3 linked regions of the Rhinolophus ferrumequinum genome follow. The main gene of each other region encodes a partner of the protein of the gene in region 3 in a complex. Links are inferred from orthologs where the notes say so. Each region holds a gene or a part of one and is shown on either strand. Other genes may lie near its edges. The genes, in order: WWC1, MAGI2 and DDN.

Region 1 (7,195 bases), on a different chromosome or scaffold from region 3:
TTAAATGTTTTGGTGATGGTGTTTTTAAAAGCACCATCACCCTCCACCTGCCCACCTCTCAAATTCTGCCATGGAGTGAAGCAGGGGAAAGAGAGGCCTAGGGGTCTGAAATCATATCTGAGAGCTGGCAGCGTCCTTAGGGGCCATCTCATCAACTCTCTTCTCTCACCAATGAAGCACTTACACCTCAGAGAGCTCAAGCAATTTGCCTGAGGCCACCCAGGCAGGACTAGAAGGCTGAAATCCCTACCAGGGTGTGCAGGAGGGAAATTCCAGAGAGCCACGAGTGGATGCCCTCTGCTCAGCTCTTTCCCAAAACTTCCAAATTTGGCCCACCACAACAGTGACCCCAGGGTTGCACTCAGCACCCCAACCTCAGGGGCTCACACCAGCCCAATGCACGTGAGATGACCGGGAGGTACAAAACCCAAGGCTTGCAAGGTGAAGAAGAGAGCAGCTCCATTAAGCACCAGTACGGTTTTAATCCCTCTCCATTGCTTGCCAATCTGTCTAAAAACAAAGGCTGCACAGGCCTGTTGCTAGGGCCGGGGGCAGGTCAAAGTATTGAGCTAAAATATAATGGCACTGGGTTGTTTTATTTCCTCCACTGTAGTTTTAAGGATCCTTTCTATTTATGGCAACAGATATTGCTAGCTTTCCATTTGTGAAAGTGGTAAAAAAATTTCTAATTGAGTTGATTTAAAATCAAGTGTCACGTAAGCAATAGCATAGGTGGATGTGGCAAAAAGTAATGAAGATGATTCCCGTAATACTAAAATTTGGGAAATTATGCTCTAGCCCAGTCGGTTTTCCATGGAAGCTATACTGCTGGCCCCTCTTCCAAGGGTAAAGAATCACTGTTGTTTGACAAGCTTTTGGCAGCTGTGTTATCCTCTCAGAGCCCCAGAAAAGTCCGCAGATGCATGACCTGGGGTGCTCCGCAGCGCAGGTATGAGGCTGTCCACCTCTGACGTCCTGCTGCTGCCAGCACTTCTTCCTCAGGAAGCTAAACTGGGGGAGGACACAGAAGCTTGAACTTGTATCTGTTCTAGGAGAGGACGATGGGCTGCCCCGTTCACCCACACAGTAACAGAGTCCCTGGGACAACTGACCCCGAGGTAGGTGGCGAAGGCGAGTGAGTCAGAACACGTTAGGTTAGACCTTCGGAGCTGGCATATGGCAGGGCAGTGGAAGGATCAAAACCAGCAAATCACACCTCCGGGCCTCAAGTCTTCTATTGTTTGAAAACAGGAGTCGGACTCAGATCTTCTACGTCCTTCCCCGCTTTTAAAAGTTCCACTTTTACGCCTCCCCTTCCAAGCTAACCATTAGTCTCACAAATAGGGAAACTGAGGCTCAGAGGTAAAGGCAGCTTGCCTGAGGGACGCTTTCTAGCATTGAAATGTTCTCTTCCAGATTTACTTTAATGAGACAGTCATCATGGTTCTGAGCATAGAGGAACCCAGTAAATGTTGAACGAATTTAAACGCTTACAGAAACTACTGGAAATCTCAATTCACATCTTTCGCTTTTCTGTTTCTCACCCCTCCCCTTGCTACACACCCATTCTGGACTTGTGGGACCTCCATCCCAACTCCTGCAAGATGAAGGGTCCAAAAAATTCACCTCCATTGCTTTACAGTCACCTGACACCCAAGGTCACAATGACCAGGTGAAAATGTCACATTCCTAAGCCACTCTGACCACAGACCGCAGGGGCAAAGGACAACAAAGCTACCCCAGAAGGTGGTCCTCCCTTCCCCCGCACACATACACGGGGAGGAAGTGCGTGTGTGCAAAGAAATCCCAACCAGTGGAAACCCGGAGAAAGTCTGGAAGCTAAGAGCCACACCAGCCATCTCAGACTCCACCTGCCTCAGCAAAAAAATGAATAAAAATCCCGTGCTACAGCCGGCGTGGTGGCCATCAAGGTCAGAGCGTGCTGGTGCAGAACTGAGGAGCCCGGTCCCCGGGGGAAGAAAGGCAGGAGAAAGAGGCGATGGGCTGGGCTTTGCCAGAGGCCTCTCACCCCATCGACACCCTAACAGCTTCCAAGTTGCTGTGGGATTCTTGGGGAACCAGTCTCTCCATCAGCCCTCCCTAGCTCCTTCCTTTCCTTCCCACTCCCGCCTCCAGGCCTCTCCCCACCCCACCTCGGCTGCTCCAGTACTCTTCTCAGAGCCTCCAAGTCACCTGTCAAAAATCACACTCCAGGCAGCCTTTCCCTCCGCGTAGTGTCCTTCCTCCAGCAGTCTCCCACTGAATCCTGGGGTCCTACCACCCCCTCTAAACCAGATGCTTCCGCATCCCCCCTCGCCGCTCTCCCCTGGGGTTGCTGGGGAAAGCCTCCCCCGGGAAGCCCCAGCATCACTCCGCTAGGTCGCTCCCCGCGCCCCCGGCCGACTACTCTTTCTAAAGGGGGCGGGGGGCGGGGCTAGAGCTTAAGGTCAAAACTCTGGGCAGGTGCCGGCTGGGGCCTAAGTCCTCCATCCAGGGATGGCAGAGGGGGCAGCTTGGGACAACTCACTGGCCGTCCCCTCCTCCCAGCAGCTCACAGGGACAGGAGCAGCGCTCCAGAAGGGGATGGGGCGGCGGAGGCGGGGGGGGACAAACTGAAGAAAGCACAAGAGGCTGGAAGAGCTCTCCCTCATCCCCTGCCCAGTCCCGGCTGGTGGTCCCTGGGACAGAAGGGGGCCCGGGTTGGGGGGTGGGGGCCGCCTGGGGTCCTACCTGTCCCGCGGGTCGATCCAGCTGGTGGTGCGGCTCGTGTGGTCTATGTAGTAGACCTTGCCGTCGAAGTCGCGCGCCTCCTCCCAGCCCTCCGGCAGGGGCAGCTCCGGCCGGGGCATCTTCCTAAGTGCGGCCCGCGCTCCCCCATGCAGCTCCCGGCAGCCGCGGGGGCCCCAGGCTCAGCGGCTCCGGCTGGCTGTACCCGGCCCGGGCGGCCGCCGAGGCACCATAATGGGGGGGGGGGCGTCCGCGGATTGGGGGCCCTAGCGAGGGCTGGCCCGGGTGGCGCGGCTGTCCATGCGGCCCTGAGATCCCACGGCCCCAGCCCGGCGCCGCCCGCTCCTCCGGCCGCCGGCCTCTCACGCGGCCATGTGCGCCCGCAGCCGCGCGGTGCGGGCCCGGGTGCGCGCCGGGCCGGCGGGGCAGAAGGAGCCGAGCGCAGCGGCCGCCTGCCCTCCTCCGCCGCGCGGCGCGCTGCGCCCTCCACGCCGCTCGCCGCCGCCGCCTCTCCCTCCCCGCAGCCCCGTGCGGCTTCTCCTCTCGGCTCCGCGTTCTGCGCTCGCACGGTTTGCGACTTCTGCCTCCGCCAGGTGCGGCTAGGGCGGTACAGGTAACGCGCTGCCCCGGAAACGGGAGGCGGAGCGCCGGGCGCCTGGGTTTCCAGGTCTCCTCCCCACGCCCAGCGCCGCGAGGGCGGGTCCTAGGGCCCGCGACGCGCCCCCTCGTGGGACAGTCCGAACCGCCGGCCCCCCGCCCCTTCGCTGCCCCTGTCAGGGCAAGGGGAGACCTCCCGTTACCTGGGTCCCGGACCCAGACTGCAGCCCCAGGACGCTAAAGCAGGACCCGCTCTGCCTCTGTTTCCCAACGCTCCTGGCTTTCTCCACCCCGCGTGTCCAGGCTCTTGGCACAGGTGCCCCAGATCTTACAACTCCCCGCTTCTCTGTTATGTAGAATTAGGAGTCAGGCAAGAAGTGGTTAAATAGAAACATTCTTGTAAATCGGGGAACATAAGTTTTCCAGAATCTTTGATCCCTTCCCCCAACACACGCACCATCTGTCTCCCTCTTAGTCCATTCTTCTCCCCACGTTGGTCCACCCATCCCCCACCCCACCCCGTATTTGCAAATGTAGCAGGCTCTCCTAGGGGTCCATAAAATTAGGAGTGCTATGAAGCCCCTCCCGGGAGGTCTTCCAGAGGGTGTCAGGGTGCGCACTTTGTAAAAGTAATAGTAATGATGTTGTTGTTTTTAGCTAAATTGAATACTTACCTTGTCCCAGGCTGTGGGCTAGCAGTTTCACAGGCGTTCTTTCCTGCGATATCCTTGAGGTAGGTATGTTATGGGTTTTGAGGGAGGGTGTTATGAAGAGAAGTAAAGAAAGCAAAGCAAAATTCCATCTTGAAAAAAAGTAGAAGAAATTCAAAAATCCGACACAATATTTCTTGAGAAATGAAGAATGTGTAATTAAATGCAAAAAAGAAAGTAGCACGACTGAGTTGAGGATCAACGGACGTGTCTGTTTCCTAAGTGTGTGGTTGGCCATTTTTTGCCCTGGATACGTGTCAGGAAGCTGGGCTGGAGGAATGAGGCCCAGTGCCGTGTATCCTCTTGGCTGAATCCCACAATCTCCCTGACAAGCCAGCATCCTGTACTGGGTGGGCCCAGGTGTGCTGAGCAAGGGTGGGAATCCCATGTTTGTGGTCTCAATGTATGGGCTCAGCATTTGGCCCTTCCTCCCCTCTTTCATTCCATGGATGCCATGCACGAAAGTCCAGAAACGGCCTTCGACTGACCACCAACACCGAAAAGTAGGAGTTCCCCATCCTTTCATGGGGCATTGCCACAGCCCTTGACACTTGCTCTGCTTGGGCCAAGCCTTCACTATAGAAAAATCAATAGTCTCCCACTATGGATTAGTAAAACCAACATGGTGCTAGGTGCTTCACACACATGATCTCATTTAATTCTCACAACAACCCTCTGGAGTAGGGAATACTACTCATTATATCCATTTCACTGATGAGAAAACTGAGGCTCCAAGATGTTGTTCTGTTGCTCAGGGACACAGAGCTAATCAGTGAACCCAGGTCTGTCCTACTCCTGCACTTGTGCTTTCAAATACTGACCTATACTTTCTCTTTCTCTCTCTCTCTCTCTTTCGTTTTTTAATTATAGCAGGTCCTTGAATAATATTTTGCTCAGGAATCAGTCTGTTTGGGTCCCTAATCCACCCTATTTTCTAGCCTTTTGACCTTGAGGAACTTGCTTAAACAAAGTCTCAGTCTTCGGTCTGGAAGACATTGTGACTAATACAGACTCAGTAGGCTTGTTGAAAGAGCTAAGTAGGAAGTGAGGAGTGTAGAGGGCTTGGCACTCCGCAGGCAGCCATCACCCAGCGCCCTCACTGTGGTACATCTGGAGCATGACTGCCTGGCAGCAAGCATTCCCCTGCGACATGTGAACCGATGAAGTCTTTTCTGTTCCAAACACAAGCCCATGCCTTTCCTCTTCCTGAAAATTGTGCACGGTTGCTTGTGATAATCCTAATTACTGGGTTTGTTTTAGTCTTGCTTGGCAACCAAGCCCTTCTCACTGGCTGGTGTTGGTCGTGAAGGGAAAACACCTTCTACACTGCCAAATCCGACTTTCTTTTTTAGCCCAGGTGCCGAAGCCCTGGCATTTACCAAATGGCTGTTCCTTCAGACCTTTAGACCTCAACTGGGGAGTAGGAAAGTGAGACCATAGCAGGAATTGGCTCTCTAAAGCCTTGGTCTGTTTGTCCACAGTACTTCCCTCCATCTCCCCCGCCCCAACACACCCCCCGAAACAAAAGAATCCCAGGTTATCTCCCAGGAGCTGCAAGCAGGGTGAGGTAATAAAACAGATGACTGCCTGCCCCAGGTGATGGCGGGTGAATCATCCCCAGGCATTCTTCAAGGCTGAGGACAAACCTGAAAGGGACTAAAGGTAAAACTGGCTGAGCCACGTGACAGAGTGAATTGGACGTTACTCTACAGGTGACTGAACTGCAGGAATCTGAACTGAAGGCAAGAGGCCCAGCCTTTCCCGGCCTTTCTCCTGGGGCTACGTCTGGCTGCCCGTGAGTGGAGCTGGAGGAGACAGGATGGCCGGCCTGGGGGCCGAGCAGAAGTGACCACAAGCCAAGCCTTTCTTCATTTGCTTTCATATCCAGTCAGCTCACTGGAGACACCTGTGCCGGGGATACATTGTCTTGTTTTTATAAAAGAAGTCCACTTAAATCCTTTCCCCCACTCAACAACAAAGGAAGGCCAGTTTCCACAAATGTGATTCAGAGAATTTCAGAGCATCAGGGTAATGTATTTCACGAAGATGGGAAGGAAGAGAAATTCAGCTTAAAAAAAAAAAAAAAAAAAGGAACAGATAGGTCAGCAATAGTTTCCGGTTAGCTTCTGCATTCTTCAAGGAAGTGGAGGCTATGGAAACCTCTGCCGAGAATTTTCTTCCGACTCCATAACTGTACCGCCCTACCTCATGCTATCCCTCCCACACGTCCCAGGGAATGCAGTTACGTTTCTATGGCTGAGCCGATAATGTCCCCTTTCTTTAGTCATGCACTAGATGAAGTTCTTAACTGGACTCATGGACTGATTTTTTTTTTTTTCCCAATGATGGGAAAACATGTCCTAAGCCTGGGAAAATTAGGGTGGAAGAAACCTTAGCAGTATGAGAGATGAGGCAGAAGAGACGGTTTCTTATTTATCTCTGGGTCTTCAGTGCTTGAAAATAAAATAAGTCTAGCATTGCCTACTTCTTTTACAAATAGGGAGATGGAGTTTCTATGGATAAGTCTAGCATTGCCCTAGTTCTTATTAGTCCCATTTTACAGATGTGTAACCTAGACTCAGAGATGAAGTGACTTTCCTATGGTCACGTCGTAAGTAATACAGCCAAGATTCCAACTGAACTCCCAGTGGGTTTTACTTCTGAATTCACAGCAGCGTGGCCTCTACCTTGCCAACAAAGGAGGAACTTTGGGGCACTAACAGTCTGGTTGGACGTGGGTGGAAGAGCAGCCAGGAGACTAGTCTTGAACTTGGACTTCCATTTGGATTGCATATTTATCTGGTGTGGCTGGAGGTGGGAGGGGGCATAGCTGAAGTCATAGCTGTGTTTACAAGGAAAGGGCAGAGTTGAAGTGGGTGTTCTGAATTCTAAGCTGATAATAGATCAACCTGAGTTTTGACCTCCACCAGTGCTGTCACCCAGACCCACCTGGAGGTTAGCTATCAGGGCATTTAACAGGCGGAGCTGTCTCCATGAAAGAAGGGGCACCTTTCTCCCGGTGCTGCCTGCTCTCCCTCCACTCCCCACCCCACCCCCCTTTTTCTTGCTGGTTCAATTCATTAAATGAACTGAATTTCTCCGGGATAGGAGGCAATCCTGGGGCTGGTAGGAGAGGTTTCCACTCTCCCAACCAAAAGTCC
Region 2 (8,066 bases), on a different chromosome or scaffold from region 3:
TCTTACATAGGAATCCATGGCACATGTTCATTTTAGCTTCTTCATAAACACCCACACTGGTGGGGATCTCATGAATTCACAATATAGCCCACAGAGTTTTGGAAAGCTCTGTTAGAAAGCTCATCTTCATGAAGATAAAGATGCTTCATCTTTTTAAAATTCCCATAGACTCATCTTAGTTTTGCCTGTGGAGTATCACAGAATTCGTCAGAATTCCTTTCATGCCCTCCCTTTCTCAAGTTAAAGTCTTTCCACTGGATTTTATAGGAGATATCCACAATACCCAATAACCTACCTTTCTTTATTTTCTGGACACATTCTTGCTGCTAGAATCATAGTTTGCCAAGGTCCATCTCAACAGGTAGTGATCCGAATGAATAAAACAGTCAATTGTGGCCATCATTGCAAACTATAACAGGACAATCACTTCCCTCATTAGGATACTATCGTTAGTCAAATTTAACAATGCATTAACTTTTGCAGCCACTTTCCACTATAAACACCAAGCTTGTTACCATTAATTATGTAGTGGATTTCTTGGTCTCAAACCAGAACTTCGCATTTAAATCTATTGCTATAAGACAGTATCATGACATCAAATAGGTTAACATGAATCCCCATATTTGACAATTGGGCATATCACCTTGAAAAATACCAAAATACTCTATTTGCCTTCCTACTTAACTCATATTCTTCAATTTCATACACTATTAAGCAATGTTGACCTCCAAGTCAATGTTTAAATTAGCCTATCTCAAGTCATCAGCTATTAATACTCAAGAATCCCCAACGAAAACGTTTTCTTGCATGACAATTTACATTCAAGAAATTTCACCTGAAATATCTTTTCCACATGTTTGCCTTTAAAACCTATTTTTATAGAGAAGAACATCTCCCTAAGAGTATTTCTTGACAGTTTTCACGAAGTAAGATAAGTGCTTGTTCAAAAGGCAGGCAATGACATGCTCAATTCCATCTTTGAGGCGGGACAACCAATGGAACCCCACCAACAAACCTTTGCATTGATGTGAACACGCATATGTACCCTCCCACCCCACATGAAGTGTGCCGGTGATCTGTAAACGGATGCGATCACGTGTGGAAAACAAAGATACACTACTTTATTCTAGTTAAAGTTGTCTTCTTTCCAAGAAACCGTTTTCGCACTCGTCCCTGCTTCAGGACCATCATTTTCTTTCATGCGAAGACAGAGTTAGGGAGCGTTCTGCCAAGATTCCAGTCTCCCTAAGTCCTCATCACAGCATTCAAATGAAGCTCCTCTGATAGGTGGCCTGAGCTTTTCCCTATAACTCCTTAGAAACTTGACCCCTGTCCCCATCGGAAGGCAGAGGTGAGTCCAACCACAGAGAACTTCCACTCAAAGAGGGCAACCACTGAGTACAGAACATTCATTCGGGGAGCCATTGCTCTCCTCCCAAACCCCTGACCCTACAACCCGCTCCCGGTGCCGCGCCTTCTTCCAGAGCCTGCTCCAGCGGGCCAGCTCCGGGGTTAGTCAGTGCGCACGTGACGCGCGGTGCTCACGTGATTGACTGTGGACGGGGGCGGGGGACAGAGGAGTGAAGCAGGGAAAAGTTAAGGAAGACCGGTCAAAGCGCTCAAAGCAATCGGTCCCTTCTCTTCTTCGTCAACTAGTGGCTCAGGGATTCCTAGGAGATGGCTGCGGGTCAAGGAGTCTGCGGTCCAGATCCCCAAATCAGGGGGTGGAGGGGGGCGTAGTTCTCTGTTCGCCCAGCCACCTTCCGCTCCTCTCCGCCCTGCCCTGCTCGTGATGCCGCTGCACCCTCAAGTTGCTCCTTCCTTCCATTTCTCCCTCCCTCTTTTTTCCCTTCTTCCCTTTTTCTCCCATCCTCCCTCCCTTCCTTCCTCCGTCCGTCCCTGAAAGCTCTTCATCCACTGCGGGCGATGCCACTGACGCACATTCAGTTTGCCCCTGGAGCTCGCCTGCACCTCTGAGGTCAGACAAGGCCGAGCACCTTCCAACGGGGAGGGTATAACTGCGCAAACAAAGTTGCACGCCACACCGCATCCTGCCCTCCCTTCCATTTAGCCCCGATTCGGATTCTCCGCAAAGCTCACTTGCCCTGCCGGTACTCTCTCGACCTCACCCCACCACCGTGCAACACACCCCCTTCCACAGCGAGCCCACCCTTCCATTGCCCCGCGCTTCGAGCGGTCCAGCTGCCTGGCAAAGCCCGGAGCAAGCCGCTGCGCTCACCTTGCTTGACACACTTGAGCCGGAGGGGGTCCTTGCAGTGTTTGATCACGGCCAGCACGTCCCTGATGGTGAGCCCCGCCACGGGGGTCTCGTTCACCTCCAGCAGCAGTTCCTCCGACACCAACTTGCTGCCGCTCTCATAGGCCACCTTGCCGGGCTTCACCTCCCCCAGGTAGGGGAACTGTCCATTCTCGGCGCCCCCCTTCAGTTCAAAGCCCAGCTGGCCCTCCGGGTTCCTGCCAATGACACTCTCATGGACTTTGCTAGTCCAGTGGCTTTTCTTTTTCAAGCTTTTGGACATGGCAGTGGGGCGAGTCGCCTCAGCTCCTGAGGGGTTCCTTTGGGTAGGGGGATTGGCGATGAGAGAATGAGGATGGAGGAGCAAGGGGGCCAAGAGGTGAGAAGAGCAGACTTTGCCTTCCTCCCCCTCTGTTCGGTGCTTTCCCTCTTCTTTGGATGGAGTATGGACGAGGAAGGGGGAGGATGAGAGGGACGGCTGGGCAGAGGTAGGAGAGCTTGGGTGAGGTTGTGCTGTCCCTTGAATGACACTCAAAGCTGTGGCCCCGCAGCAGAGGAGAGCTGAGGAGGTGGTGGTGGTGGTGGCGGCGGCGGCGGCAGCCTGAGCGAGCAGTAGCCGAGCTGGTGAGCGGGTGGAGTGGGGGTGGGGAAGGAGGGTAGGGATGCCGGGGGCCACTCCTGCGTGGTGCGAGTGGGAGCGCGCGCGCGCCTGGGTGTGTGGTGTTAGCTGATACCCATGGCAGCTGCAGTGGCAGCGGCGGGTCCGTGTGTGTGTGTGTGTGTGTGTGTGTGTGTGTGTGTGTGTGCACTAGTTGTACAGTACTGGCAGGAGGGGAGGAGGCAGGCTGAGAGGAGGAGGGGCGCGCGCGCGCCGGGTGGGGGACCGCTTCGCCGCTGTCTCCCCTCCCTCCCTCCGCAGCTTGACCCGGTAGTGAAGGCAGAGAGAGAGGCAGGCTGCGTCCGCCTGGCAGCCTGCGAGAGGAGGCGGGAGCGGGAAAGGTGGGGAGCCGAGGCCCGGCGTGGGAAGACGGGCAGGCAGGGCTGCGAGCCCAGTGCGGACCTTTCTGCAGACTGCCGGCGGCCGAGCGGTGCGCTGGGCTGCGGCGCTGCGAGGACGCTCCGTCTGCCTCAGACGCGGGATGGGCTGGAGCAGAACTAGCGAGACCGCGTGTTGAGCGCGCCGCGGTGCGGGCGCTACAGCTGGAGCGCCGCCGGCCCCCCTGGCGCGGAATCCGGCCGTGAGAGGGCTGACTGCGGGCCCGCTGGGGAGCTGCGGGAGAGGCCTCGGCGCTGGGAGCCGCGGGGGGCGCAGGATCTCGCTGTTTAGAGAGACTCAGTCTCTATGCGGTTTCGGTTAGATCGTGGCAGAGTTCTCAGACTTCCCATCGGAGGCGCGGAAAGTTAAGAGAACTGCAGGCGGGGCCCCCTGACAGCGGGGATGGCGAGGTAGCATCCCCTGCCCGGGGCAGGCTGAGCCCACGCGTCGGGCTGAGGGAGGAGGTGTCTGGAGAAAGGCGATTCCCGGGATCAAGGGAAAGGGGCTTCGGGTTTCCAGGTTGGGAGGAGCGGAAAGAAAGGGGCTGGGTGTGGAGTGGGGGGGTGCAGTGAGCAGCCTCCCCAGAGAAATGGACAGTTTAACCGGGGAACTGCAGCGGAGACGGCGGGGGCACGCCCTCACCCTGCAATGCCCGCAGATTCGGGCTGGTAGCTTGGGAAGAAGCCTTAAGGTGATCTGACCCGACAACTTCCTCCGACTGCGAAGGAAAAGAAGGCCGGCTCCGAGGGTGAACGTAGCGGCAGAATGGGGGCTGGCACTCAGGTAGCTGGCCCACCACCAGGCTCCTTCCCTTCGCCAAGTTTGCAGCCAGGAGGAGAGGTGAGGACTGAGGCACAGGGATGCAGGAGCAATGCTGATTATCACTCAACGCAAATGTCGTGTGAGATGTTAGGAGTGGTTTAAAAATCTCTGTAATTGGTAAATTAATTTCGTTTGCCTTACTTTCAAAGGATATGTTTAAGACAAGGGAAAAAAAAGTCGCACACCCACTCATCTCTTTAAAGCAAAGCATGAAAAGCACTGAGCAATTAGTATTCTTGATGTCTGAGATGGAGATAGTGTGGGAGGCGAGCGGTACAGTTAAAAATGTTTAGTCGACCCAAACAAAAAGGCCAGGTTTGAATTCAGGCTCTGCTGCTTACCAGGAGTGTGATCTTGAGTAAATTGCTTGACCTTTCTGAGCCTGTCTCCTTATTTGTTAAATAGGGTGAAAAGTACTAAATCTGAGAGGCCTGTGATGAGGATAAAATCAGGTAATGCATGCAAAGTGCTTGCCTGACTTAGGTGGGTAGGCACTCAAAATGGTAATTTCCTTCCTTTTCCCCTGGCAAGTACAGCTCTATTTGGGGAAGAGGAAGATCGAATTTAGTCAGAACTGGAAGAGATATTGAAGAAAGATGATTTGTTTAACCATGTGTCTCTTTTTACTTGAGAAAATGGATCCCCAAGGAGTTGGCTGCGACTGATAAGGATCATTCAGTGAGCCAGGGGCAGTGCCAGGATCTGAAACCAGAGCTGCCGGCAGTGCCCAGGAGTGGGCAAGACTTTTTGTAGTATAGCCCAGTCTCACCCAAAGAAGTTGGGTTTCAGCATTACGAGATACGATCCTAAGTGGAAATTGATGAGAACTGAGTATGTATTTTTAAACACCAATTACAAACTAACATGTATGGGTAACACTAATATTTATCAAGTTCTAACTACATGTGAGATGTTATCCTATAGGCTCTCCATATATTAATTTATTTCTCCTGACATCTTAATGAAGTAGGTACTATTGTCATTCCCCTTTTAAGATAAGGAAACTGAGGCATACAGAGATTAACTTGCCAGGCTGCAAATGTAGTCAGTGGGGAAACTAATATTCAGACCCAACCCTTTTGGCTCCAGACCTGGTCTCAATCACTGCATTGTCTCTCTCTCCATGCACTTACCATGTGTCATACCAGCAATCAGCATGATGTTCAAAAGGTGTCTGCATTTTATTGTAGGGGTGATTAGGAGAAAAGAAAACAAATGAAGCTGGAGTTTGTCATAAAAGTATTTTGCCCATGAGGACCCAGGACAGTCATTGAGGTGTGTGTCAGCTAATTCAGTGCTTCTCAGCTCCCAATTCATCTTCTTTGCCCTGAATTGTGATAGTAGAAGCTACAAACATGTCCTTGTTCTCAATTGGCACAATATTAGGACTTGTCATCAGAAGGTGCTGGAGGAACACTGCATAAAAAAGGGGCTCCCCTTTTTAGTTCCAGTGCTTCTTGTTTCTATGGTGTGTTGGTCAGTGGGTGGCTTTTTGGCCAGTGGTGTGCAAGAAACCAGTGTTTCATACCCTCCAGTAAGTTTGGCCAGTTCCCTAGTGTGTGGTGTTCCAGTGGGTAGCTTCCTAGCAAGTTTCACTGGCACCCCAACTCGTGGTTTTCTCACCAGCCCAGTGTGTGACACCTCAACATATTTCTTGGTGATCAAGTGGGCCACATCTACATTATCTTCAATGAGATCTGTCTGTCAGCCATTGTAGGGGAGAAACGGGGTGGGGGTGGAGGTTCATCTAAGTTTTTCCTTCCCTGGATATTCTCCCACAGCCCTACAGGAAGTGGTTGCTCTCTAAATTCAGTTTTCTTCAGTGTTCTTCAGTGATCTCTTCTTTTAGTAGTCACTCACCTTTTACTAGCTAATAATTCTTTATATTAAATTTTCCTGCTCCAACGATGGTGTGATTTCTGTCTCCTGACTGAACATTTAAAAGGGATGGTGTAGAGCAAGGGTGTCCAAACTTTTTTCAACGTTTTTCGCCAAGGGCCATATGCGGTAAAATACACAAACAGCCGGGCCACTCACTCGAGGTGAAGTATGTATTGCCTCACCTGGATTATTTAAGTAAACTAAATATATTTTTGGAATCTGCTGCGGGCCAATTAAAAATGGATTGCGGGCCACAGTGGGCCCCCCGGGCCGCAGTTTGGACACCCCTGGTATAGAGCCTTGAGTAGAGCACTTTCCTGGGAATTAGAAGTTGGCATCCTGCCTTTAGTTGTGCAAACTTGACAAAGTCACTTAAATTTCCAGAGCTTCTTCCCTCATTTGTAAAAAGGGGGTAACTATGTGAATTACAAGGTTGTGTGAGCAGCATGTAAAATTTGAATGCACTTTAAATGCACTTAAATGTGAATACACTTTAAAACTGTGAAATGCTATCAAAATTAAAGGTGTTAATTATCAGTCTAGGAACAGAGAGTAGCAAAGAAGAAGATGGAGATCCTTTAAGAAAAAAATTACGTGTAGGAGTATTCTGGGGACTTAGATTGTTTCCTGAGGGAGGAAAACAGCATTTTCTGTAAGATTTATTGTCATCAAATAAATATATTATCTGTTGGTTAGTTGGTTGATTGGTTAACTTTATCTAGCTTTTCAGAGATAAAAGCAAAGAGATGTGAGTCTCAAATAGTTCAAGTTTCCAGCTCTATTACAGCCATTTTGAAATGCTAGAATCAGACTAATTTGGTTACATTCTATTCTGGTATCCTTCACATTCGCTTTATTTTTACTTTGTCTCCTTTACCCTTTCTGAGTTTGATGCCTGTGTCAAGAAAGAATTATTTCATTGCTGAGCACTCTATGTGCAGAGCATGGCACTAGATATTGCATGCTATTCCAAAAGAAAAATAGTTTAGGAATCTTAAAAGCTAAAGGAAAGAATGCATGAGTGCATTCAATCCTTACAAGAATTCTATGAGGTGGATGCTTATGGCCGACTCCACCTCATCCCCTTGAATTTCTTTGACTGGGTCTGAGTACCCTTTCTCTAGCTTCTGTGTTCTTTTGTGCCTCATAGCCAGCCCCTGAGACTCTTTTTGGAAGGCTGCCCAAGGGGCTTCTGGGCTCACTTTGCAGAGAGAGTCAGAGAGAATCACCTGGGAGTTTACTTCTCTCCAAGGACATCCTTTCCTAAGGATTGCCATATACAGCATAAAAGTCCAGCCCTATCACCTCTAGTAGTAAGAAAACCTAAGATGTAATTTATACCCCCAGTCTCCCCTCCAGGATCATGCAAATGCTAGGATTCTGCCTGAAATCTTTTCCTTCCGTATTTTGCTCACTCTGGTAATTTACGGGTTATATTTCCTGGAAGCATTTCTTGATAAATCACTTGCACACAATTCTCATCTCAGGGCATGATTTTAGGGATCCTGATCTAAGACATGATTATTCCATTTTACAGATGAGGAAACTGAGGCTCACGTATTTTAAATTGCCCGAAGTCACACTACCAATAAAAAGTGGAGTTATGATTTGATCCATGTCTGTGTGACTCTGAAGTTCCTACTCCTAATGCCGTGTTACATTGAAAGCCCCTAACCCTGAGTGTTTTTAAATTAACTGATGGAACAGAAGTGGCCACAAAACTCAGCAATTGATCAACAGACATAAAAATTGTATCCCTACAATATGAGATCTCTAAGTGTTTGAGGAGGAAGAATAAGGAACCATGGGTAGTAAGACCAAAACATGGTACACTTCATCTAGAAAAATCTTTATAAAAGGTGAGACCTACCTAACACAAGGTATGAAGGGATGCCCCACGTTTTAGCAGAATATAAATGTTCAATGTGATTTTCAGTTAAAAGCTTCCTTCATGCTAAGGTTGAAGTGGGTATTTGTATTTTTCCTATTGCTTCTGTAACAAATTACCACAAACTTAGTGGTTTCAGACCACACAGATTTATTATCTACAGTTGTGAAGGCCTGAAGTTC
Region 3 (7,974 bases):
CCAGCAAGTCAGTGTCAGAGTTGAGATTGGAAACCTAGACTTGTGACACCGAAGTGAACTTTGATGGTTACTTCTGGACCCCTTCCTTTTCTGCCAAGGGCCTCTCTGTCACGTGGTCGCCTCAGTCTGAAGCCTCTGCATCACTTTCTCCCTCTTCGTGGGAAGGCTCTGCCCTGAAGTTGCCTTCCCATGTCTATACCATCCCTGCCGTCCTGCCTGCTCCTGGCCAGGCCTCTCTGCTCAGCTCCACACCCAGTGCAGCCACCCTTGCTGAACACCTTACCCCAGTGCCCTGAATGGAGCAGGCATTAAAGTCTACTGCTCACCCTCACCTCACCGGAAAAAAAAAATCATACATCGCAGATATTCCCTTTCTTTCCACTTGGGCGGCTTCTATTTCGAGTATGGGAACCGGGATAGGTAGGGTTACAAAGAAGTCTGTGAGGAAGAAAGGGGACCAGTGGGCCCAAGGATGGATGCGCTGGGGGACACAAATACAAGAAAGGGCATCTTACTGCCTCTCCCTACTTCCCTGTGGGGTCCCCCTTAGTGTCCCTCGCCCCGAAGAGGACCTCCTCGGTTCGGCCGATGACACCTAGAATGTCTCGGACACTGTCGCTCAGCTCGGCTGTCTTCCCGCCTTCCCGGGTCCGGGTCCGCTCACTCCGCCAGGAGGCACCCGAGGCTTCTGTGTCGCTTCCGTCAGAAGAACCGCTATGGACACTGAGCTCCGCAGCTTCGTCCGAGTCCGAGTCCGGGGCAGTGTGGCGGCGGATGCGGGACACGGCTTCCCGCAAGGCCCCGGCGTAGGGCCCGGGGTTCCGCGCCCAGCACTGGTTTGCGGGCCGCCGCGGGACTGCCACCAGTTCCCCCGAGCCCTCGGCACTGCCCGCGCCTTCCAAAGCCGCTGGGCCTAAGGCTGAGTGCTCTGGGCTACCTGGCTGCGTGGGAGCATCCCGCAGGTTTACTTCGCCCACCGGGAGCCCCAAGATGCGGGAGGCGCGCTCCTCCAATGAGGAGTCCGCTGGCTTCCCGCCCTCAGCCTCGAACCCGTGCCCCCCACCTGGCTGGTGTGAAAGGCGATTGCTCAACAGCAGCTTTTGGCAAGGGGAAGGAAAGACCGCGGCCCTCTCGCACTCCTTGTTGGGCTTCGGTTGGCTGGGGGCATCCCCAACAACGCGTGGCACCCCAGCGGGCAAAAGCTGCACATGCTGGGTTCGAGGGGTTGGAACATACTGGGACTTTATCACCACGCACGTGGCGTCAATGACAAAGATGCCTTCTCCACGAGAGGGGCCTCGAGAACTGCGGGGAAGGGTGTGGGCGCGGCGGGTTGCCTTCCAACCCTCCAAAGTCTCGGGGCCGGCCCCCTCTCTGTGACCCAGGGACTCTCTCCATCCTGTGCCTCCTGGAGCCCAGGGTCTGGGGAGGGTCTGGCTATGTCGGGGTGGCTGCTTTTTAAGGGAGGGAATCCAGCATTTGGGGAGCCAGTTCTGTTCTCTACCTTCTTTCCCTTCCCCAGGGGCCTTGAGATGGGGCCTGGATCTGGGAGCGGGGCGCGGGGGCCTGGGAGTCGCAATTGTAGCCCGGGGAGGAGCTGTCGCTGTCCCTGGGCTCCCAGCAGCTTTGGCTTGGGGGTGGCCGTCGCTACCACTGTTCAGGCCAGCAGCAGCCAGACCCAAGTTTTTCTCCGCGGCCCCCTTGCGGGGCTCCGGCCTTGGCCTGGCTGTTCCACATCCTGGGGATCCCCCCAAGAGACCCCTCCCCTGTCGGAGACCCCAAGCCCCGAGGACGTCCCGGTAGATTCGAGGATCCAGCCTCTTCTTTGTGCACCCACCGTCTGTCCTGGCCGGACTCAGAGCTGGGGCGGATGAGACCGGAGCCTGGGAGGGCTCGGGGCCTCTACTAGTCCCCAAGGTCCTGTGTGGGCCTTCGTAAGAAGGTGGAGCCACATAGGGTGGCGGCCGGTCCCAGCGGCGTCGCGGGGCCGTCCCGGCAGCGCCTCTCAGCAGCAGGTGAGCCTCGTAGCTGGGGGGCCCTGGCCTGCGACCTCCCCAGGGCCCCGCCCACGCCGCCCCTGCGTTGCTCCGCGGTTGAGCGAGTGGACCGGGTGGTCTCCCCACCTGCCCCAGGCGCTCTGGCCTTGACAGAGCTGGGAGCCCTGCAGGCTGGGCCACCCGAGGGGCATTCCGAGGCTCCGGGCGGGGCCGACCCAGGGGGCTCTTTCGGGCCCCACCTGCCTTGCGCCTTTTTCGCTCGGTCTCCTTGGCTTCCCGCTCCTGCGATGCCGCTTTCCTTTTCTCTTGCTCCCGGGCCCTGGCCTCGGCCGGGGGCCCAGCCCGCCAGTTGGTCGCCTCCTGCAGCACCCTGGAGGCCCAGGGCCGGCGGGGCGGTGGCTCAGGGGATCCCGGGCGCGGCCCACACCTGGGACAATGAGCAGGAACCCAGGTGAGCAGTTTGTGGGGGAAGGGAGCCGAGGTCCGGGGAGCTGGGAGCGCTGCCGACCCCTTGGGGCAGCCGTGTGAAGGTATGTGTGTGAGTGTGTGTGCACGTGCATATATGTGAGGGCTGAAGTCGAAGCGGGACTCCTCACCATTTCTCCATGCACACTTTAATAGCGCCTGCCCCATCTCACCTCCTGCCCTTTCTCACACCCACTCCTGTCCCCCCAAAACAGCGCTGGAATAGGTCAAGGTCCCAGCCCTTGGAATGGGGAGTAGGGCGTGGGACAGAGAAGGGGGACCAACAGCGCTGGCTGGTGCCTGAGGGGAGGTCCGGACCCCATTCCACCCCCCACCACTCTCTTCCCCTCACCCCTCCTTCACTCACGTGCGGCTCTGCGGCCCCTGGGCCCAGTGGCTGGCCTGGAAGTCCATGGGCTGTCGAGGAGGGGCACGGCGGCTATAATGACAGGAAATAGTCTTCACTTGGATCACCAGCAGCTTGGATTTTTGCACCCAGAGGCAGCTGCCAGACTCCTCATCTTGGTACTCCCGGGGGCTGTTGGGCCCCTCGGAGAATAGCTGGCCATCCAGCATCCTGCCCCACCCCACCCTGGCCCCCCACCCTCCCACCCGCCCCGAGAGCCCCCTCCCAGCCCAGGAAGCCGGCGCCCACTGCAGAGCTGCGGGCCCAGCGACTGGGGACTATATATACCCAGGCACACGTGTATGCCTGTGTGTGTGTGTGTGTGTGTGTGTGTGTGTGTGTGTGTGTATGTGTGCGCGCGCGCGCGCGCGCGCATGTGACACAGCGCGGACGGCTCCGCACTGCTACCTCCCCCATGTGCACGGCCGCCCCCTGGGGCCCGGGATTGGGCGCCCCTTCCCACTGCTCTTGTCCCCCGTGCCTGATGGGACCTGCATAAGTGGGCAGGGGACTTCTTCATGCCAGCTGACAGTGCCACCTGCCCCGCCCCCGTTTCTTCAACCTTCCTGCCGTTTTAACCCTTCACTTCCCTGCTTGTCAGGGTGCCTGACCACCAGGGTTCTACCCTTGACTTCCTGCCTCGGACTTCAGTTTCTCTGACAGGCAGGTGATGGAAATGGAACTCAAGGTCTCTGCCTGCCACTCTTGCTGGTTTCCATGGGGTTGGGGTGCAGGAGGAGCTGGCCCACGGCTGGGGGGCTATTTTTAGCAGCAGTGGCAGTTCGGGTGCAGAGAGAAGATGAGTAACCAGCTTCCATGTGGTGGAGGGAGGAGGTAGTGGCTTTCATGCAGCTTTTGTGCAAGTCTGGGGTGGGGGACTTCTCCAAGCTCAAAAAGGATGACCCCCATACCCTTAACTGTAGCCCAGGGCTGCTGGTACAGCAGGACACAGAAGTGTGTCTTGGCCATGGAAGCTGCCCTACACTTCCATTGTAGATGTTTGTCCTTGGGCATCCATGCAGCCCTCTCCCTGTAGCATGCTCTCTCCCCCAAACCACAAGCCAGAATTTTTGGGTCATACTGTTCTGTGCCCACACAGCTCTGCCAGCCTTATGGAGGACTAGGGTGCTTATGCATTTGCACCCTTTCAGAGGGGCTGGAGGAGGAACGGTGTGCTCCCTTGGCCAAAACCAAATCCCCTAGCAACCCTGATGATAAAAGTGGCCCCCGTTTTTCAGTGTAGAGCTCCCTGTCACCACCATCACAATGCCTAGCTCACTCAGCCCTCACCTGAAGTGGTGCTCAAGATGTTCACCTTTTAGCCTCATTCTGTCCTGGGGGACTGTTGCTTATATCCATATGATCCCTCCCCCCCAAGCTTATACCAGGTGTCCCCTGATTCACCATGGTAATGTTAGTGGCAGCACAGCCCACGCCAACCCTTCCATGCAGAGACTTAGCAACCATGCCTGGCAACCATGGCAGCAGCTCCAGTGGAGGGGAGGGGTTTGGGGAAGTGGGGGAAGAGTGTGTGTGGCAATGGTTCCTGAGATAGAAGGGATAATTTGCCTCTCCTGAAAGGAATAGGTAAGAAGAGAAGGCTACACGGCTCCCAAATTTTGTTACTTGTCTTTCCTTCCGCTCCATCCTCAGACTCTGAGACTGATTGGGTTTTAGAGGGCAATGGGAGAGGCAGGAGATCCCAACTGGTTTTCCGTTAAAGTACCTGCAGCCCTTTGGGTACAGACCTATTCTGTTAAGGGGATAGGGCCAGGAGGGTTGTTGCTGGGCAGAGACTGACTTACTGAGAACCAGAGCAACAAAACCCAGGCCTCCTGCTCCCTTAGGTGGACCTTTAGAGAAACCCCACACATTCCCTATCCCATCCGTTGACCACCCCCCTTTACACCTACCAGCTGCACTGCGGGCTCTTTGCTTGAAGGTGCCTCCTTCCACCTAGGTTCCCCCAGAGTCCTAGGCTTTTTAAAACCCTTGCCTCCTCCCTAGACAAACCCTATTTCATGATGGAATGTGACACTAGAAGACATTTGTCCTTTCCTCCATGCACCCACCCCCACACACATAAACACCCTAACTCTAATAACTTGGAATGCTTCCCTCCCTCAAGTCTGGGAATGTGCTGCGAGAGCTGTGAAGAGGTAAGTGCACAAGCATGGCTTCTTTGAGGCCACGATGTAGCACTGAAAGCTGTCTTGATGCTTTCTTTCCCCGTGTTTTGTCAGAAGCCTGGTTTGGAGGGACCCGTATGCTATGCCTGTGTTCACAGGCACATTGTAGGTAGGGGAAAGGAGTTGCTCTGAAATTGCTTTTGGTCTTGATATCCAAAACAAATGGTAGCGTAACTACAAGGCAGTGGTGAGATGGTACCCAGAATTTGGCTCATACCCAACAATCTAGGTATCCTTATGTTGTTTGGTACGACTGTTTTGGCTCACATGGTTTCAGCACAGGAAAAGGGTCTGAGGGGGAGACCACAGTCCTGCTGCTTCCCCACCCCCTATCTCCAGCTCATTTCCTTTTTGGAAGAATCACAAGGGATTTGTACGTTCAAAGACAGTTCAGCAAAATCCAGAATCCAACCTTCCCTAAGAAAGTCTAATGATGGTGGCATGTCTCTCCGCCTAAAGGATACAGGTATTCTGTCTACTCTGGAGACCTAACACTATTATGAAATTTTCCTGGGGTCCCAGCTATGGTCCAGGCAGAGGTGAAAGTGGGGTAATTAAGGACGACTGCAGGGAATAGGGTGGGGAACAGTTATGAACAGAGATCTAGAAAGGTAGTAGTAAGTCTAGTGTAGTGGTAAAGAGCATGACCTCTGGGGCCAGACTGTTTGAGTTCAAATCCTAGCTCTACTTTTTACTAGCTGTGTGGCCCTGGGCTAGTTACAAAGCCTCTCTGTGCTGTTTCTTTTAAATTTATAAAACTGGAATAATATCCACTATTGTTGAGGATTACATAAATATTATGTCAAGCACTGAGAATGGTGTCTTACACAGTTTTATATGAGCGTGTATGCTATTATTATTGTTTTTGAGTTGAAGAAGCCATATGAAGTCAGAAGGTTGGAGCCGTAGTATCAACTACAAAAAGCAAACACTGCAATACCGTGAAGAGGTTCCTGTCATTTTAATTAAGTTTGCCATGAAAAGCAATAACCTCAGCTAAGCACTCTGCCCTACTCCTCCACCTAAGTCACCTCCCTTCATATACAGCACAGGAACCCAAAGGCCGTCCTCCCCACTATCCTCCCCTCGCCCCTTATGGGAAGAAATGTCACTAAATGGACTCAGCCTCCTCCACATAGCATGAAACAAATGAATAAAAATATTTTTATGAAGAGTTTTGTTGTGCTATTATCTTAGGGTGGAGTCAGGGATGGAGATAGAGGCAAAGGCTGGCTGAGGTCTGGGATCTCTTAGAGATCAGAATTGCCCGAGGGGCACAGAGTCCATAGCTCACCCAGAAGATGGGCTACGCCTAAGAGGACGGGCTAGGACGGGCTGGGCTGAAAAGTTTTCCTCACGTGTATGTGTGAGGCTAGAACAGCTAAAAATCCATTCTCCTTCCTCCCCTACTTCCTTCCCAGCTCCCAGGTAGAAGGGCAGGGGGCTCTTGAGCAGGGAACAGAGTCCCAAGTCTCTGAAGGTTCCGTCTGTGGTTCGCAGAGCTCTGGGCAGGCAGTGAGTGGGCATTCTGCCCAGTGCCGCCTCCCCCACCCCCAGCTCAGGGCTTCTGTCCGCCTGTGAGCACCAGGGCCTGCAGGATGTCTGACAGCGACACGATTCCCTTGACGACGTCATTCTCATCCACCACTACAAGTCGGTGAACCTGCAGAAAGCAACAAGGGAGAAAGACATGTTTAGTGCCAGCCTTGGTTAGGGGAGTCCTTCATGCCCGCCTTGCCGAACCCCACTCTCATGGCTGGCCCCCTACCTCTGCTTCCACCAGCCTGTTGATGATGGTCTCCAGGGTCTCATGCAGATAGCACTTGAGGACACCCTCAAAGTAATGTGATCGATGTTGTAACGCTTTGGTCACAGACACATCTAGGTTGTTGTAGGTCTTTTCCGCTGCCAGATTCTGGGGAGAGAGGAGAAGGTGCTTGCAGGGAAGTGAGGGAGCCAGCCCCCAAACGCTGAGCCCACCCAACCCCGCCAGAGGGATTTAGAGCAGTTATTAGCCATGCCCACAAGCCTCACCCAGCTCATTCAATTCCTTTTCAAATAGGATTTGAAAGCTTGGAAGTTTCTTAAAACTCTTAGGTCCCAGAAGAGGCTCTCTTCTTCTCCCTCTCCACATTCAACACACCACCCCTTCCCCTACCTCCCAAGCCCTCCACAATCACTCACGATAACATCAAACTTGGAGTAGATGTCCACCACACGCCCTAGGGGGACAGAGGCAGCTCAGCAAGGAGGATCTGGCATCCAAGGCTCCCCTGCCCACAGAATCACCCTCCAGGCTGAGCTGAGGGGACAGATTTTCCCAGAGCCACCCTGGATTCCCTGGAGCCCTCCCTCGCCTTCTACCAAATCTCTCACCTTTCTCATCCACCACAGGCAGGGCTGAGACTCGGTGCTGTACAAAGATGCCCAGAGCCACGTAGACTGGGGTGGTTGTGCGGACCATAGCAATGTTGGCATAGGTGCCAATCTGTAGCTCTTCCAGAGACTTAGACATGAACTCTGGCTTGGGGAACTCAGTGATCTGAGGAAGGAAACATCAGCTTGATTTTCAAGGCCCCCTACACCACCCGTGGATATCCTTCCAACCCAGTATATAAGAAGTAAAAACTGGGCCGAGGAGCACTTACAAACAATTTGAGGAACTTGAGGATGCGCTTATGGGTGAGGATATACAAGGTGTTGCCTGATTCTGGGTCAATAACTGGCAGCCTGTGGATCTTGTTCCGAATTAATGAAGAGACAGCATCAAACAAGCTATGGAAAGGTGGGGAATAACGGTAAGTTCCACATACTGGGCCTGAGGGTAGTTAAATAGCTCCGTAGAGTGTGTTTATAAACAGGGAAAAGTGATGGTTGGGGGAGGGAAGTTGTGTGTGTGTGTGTGTGTGTGTGTGTG

The links.
Region 1: the proteins of DDN (region 3) and WWC1 are in contact, whole or in part, in a crystal structure (PDB 6J69), measured with the Mus musculus proteins. The link is inferred for Rhinolophus ferrumequinum from reciprocal best matches to the Homo sapiens genes DDN and WWC1. Residues at the interface, in NP_001013763.1 of Mus musculus: Tyr227, Val228, Ala229, Pro230, Pro231, Ser232, Tyr233, His237, Arg238, Thr239; in NP_740749.1 of Mus musculus: Glu13, Glu14, Ala15, Arg16, Asp17, Tyr23, Ile25, Asp26, His27, Arg30, Thr31, Thr32, Ser33, Trp34.
Region 2: the proteins of DDN (region 3) and MAGI2 are in contact, whole or in part, in a crystal structure (PDB 6KKG), measured with the Mus musculus proteins. The link is inferred for Rhinolophus ferrumequinum from reciprocal best matches to the Homo sapiens genes DDN and MAGI2. Residues at the interface, in NP_001013763.1 of Mus musculus: Asp222, Arg223, Pro224, Pro225, Pro226, Tyr227, Val228, Ala229, Pro230, Pro231, Ser232, Tyr233, His237, Arg238, Thr239, Leu240, Gly241; in NP_001164217.1 of Mus musculus: Glu308, Met309, Ala310, Tyr311, Thr312, Glu313, Gly315, Tyr318, Ile320, Asp321, His322, Lys325, Thr326, Thr327, Ser328, Trp329, Asp358, Tyr361, Tyr364, Val366, Asp367, His368, Arg371, Arg372, Thr373, Gln374, Phe375.

Annotation. Positions count from the first base shown.
Region 1 is NC_046307.1:35,410,363-35,417,557, reverse strand, and holds the start of WWC1 (protein KIBRA), read right to left. Parts: upstream 3,058-7,195; 5' UTR 2,850-3,057; coding exon 2,731-2,849; intron 1-2,730. UniProt on the Homo sapiens protein: Regulator of the Hippo signaling pathway, also known as the Salvador-Warts-Hippo (SWH) pathway.
Region 2 is NC_046303.1:44,639,278-44,647,343, reverse strand, and holds the start of MAGI2 (membrane-associated guanylate kinase, WW and PDZ domain-containing protein 2), read right to left. Parts: upstream 3,018-8,066; 5' UTR 2,541-3,017; coding exon 2,240-2,540; intron 1-2,239. UniProt on the Homo sapiens protein: Seems to act as a scaffold molecule at synaptic junctions by assembling neurotransmitter receptors and cell adhesion proteins. Plays a role in nerve growth factor (NGF)-induced recruitment of RAPGEF2 to late endosomes and neurite outgrowth.
Region 3 is NC_046293.1:50,070,470-50,078,443, forward strand, and holds the start of DDN (dendrin), read right to left. Parts: upstream 3,059-7,974; 5' UTR 3,039-3,058; coding exon 2,830-3,038; intron 2,425-2,829; coding exon 525-2,424; 3' UTR 1-524. Other genes in the region: PRKAG1 (5'-AMP-activated protein kinase subunit gamma-1), read right to left, coding at 6,616-6,720, 6,826-6,972, 7,242-7,279, 7,434-7,599, 7,706-7,832. UniProt on the Homo sapiens protein: Promotes apoptosis of kidney glomerular podocytes. Podocytes are highly specialized cells essential to the ultrafiltration of blood, resulting in the extraction of urine and the retention of protein.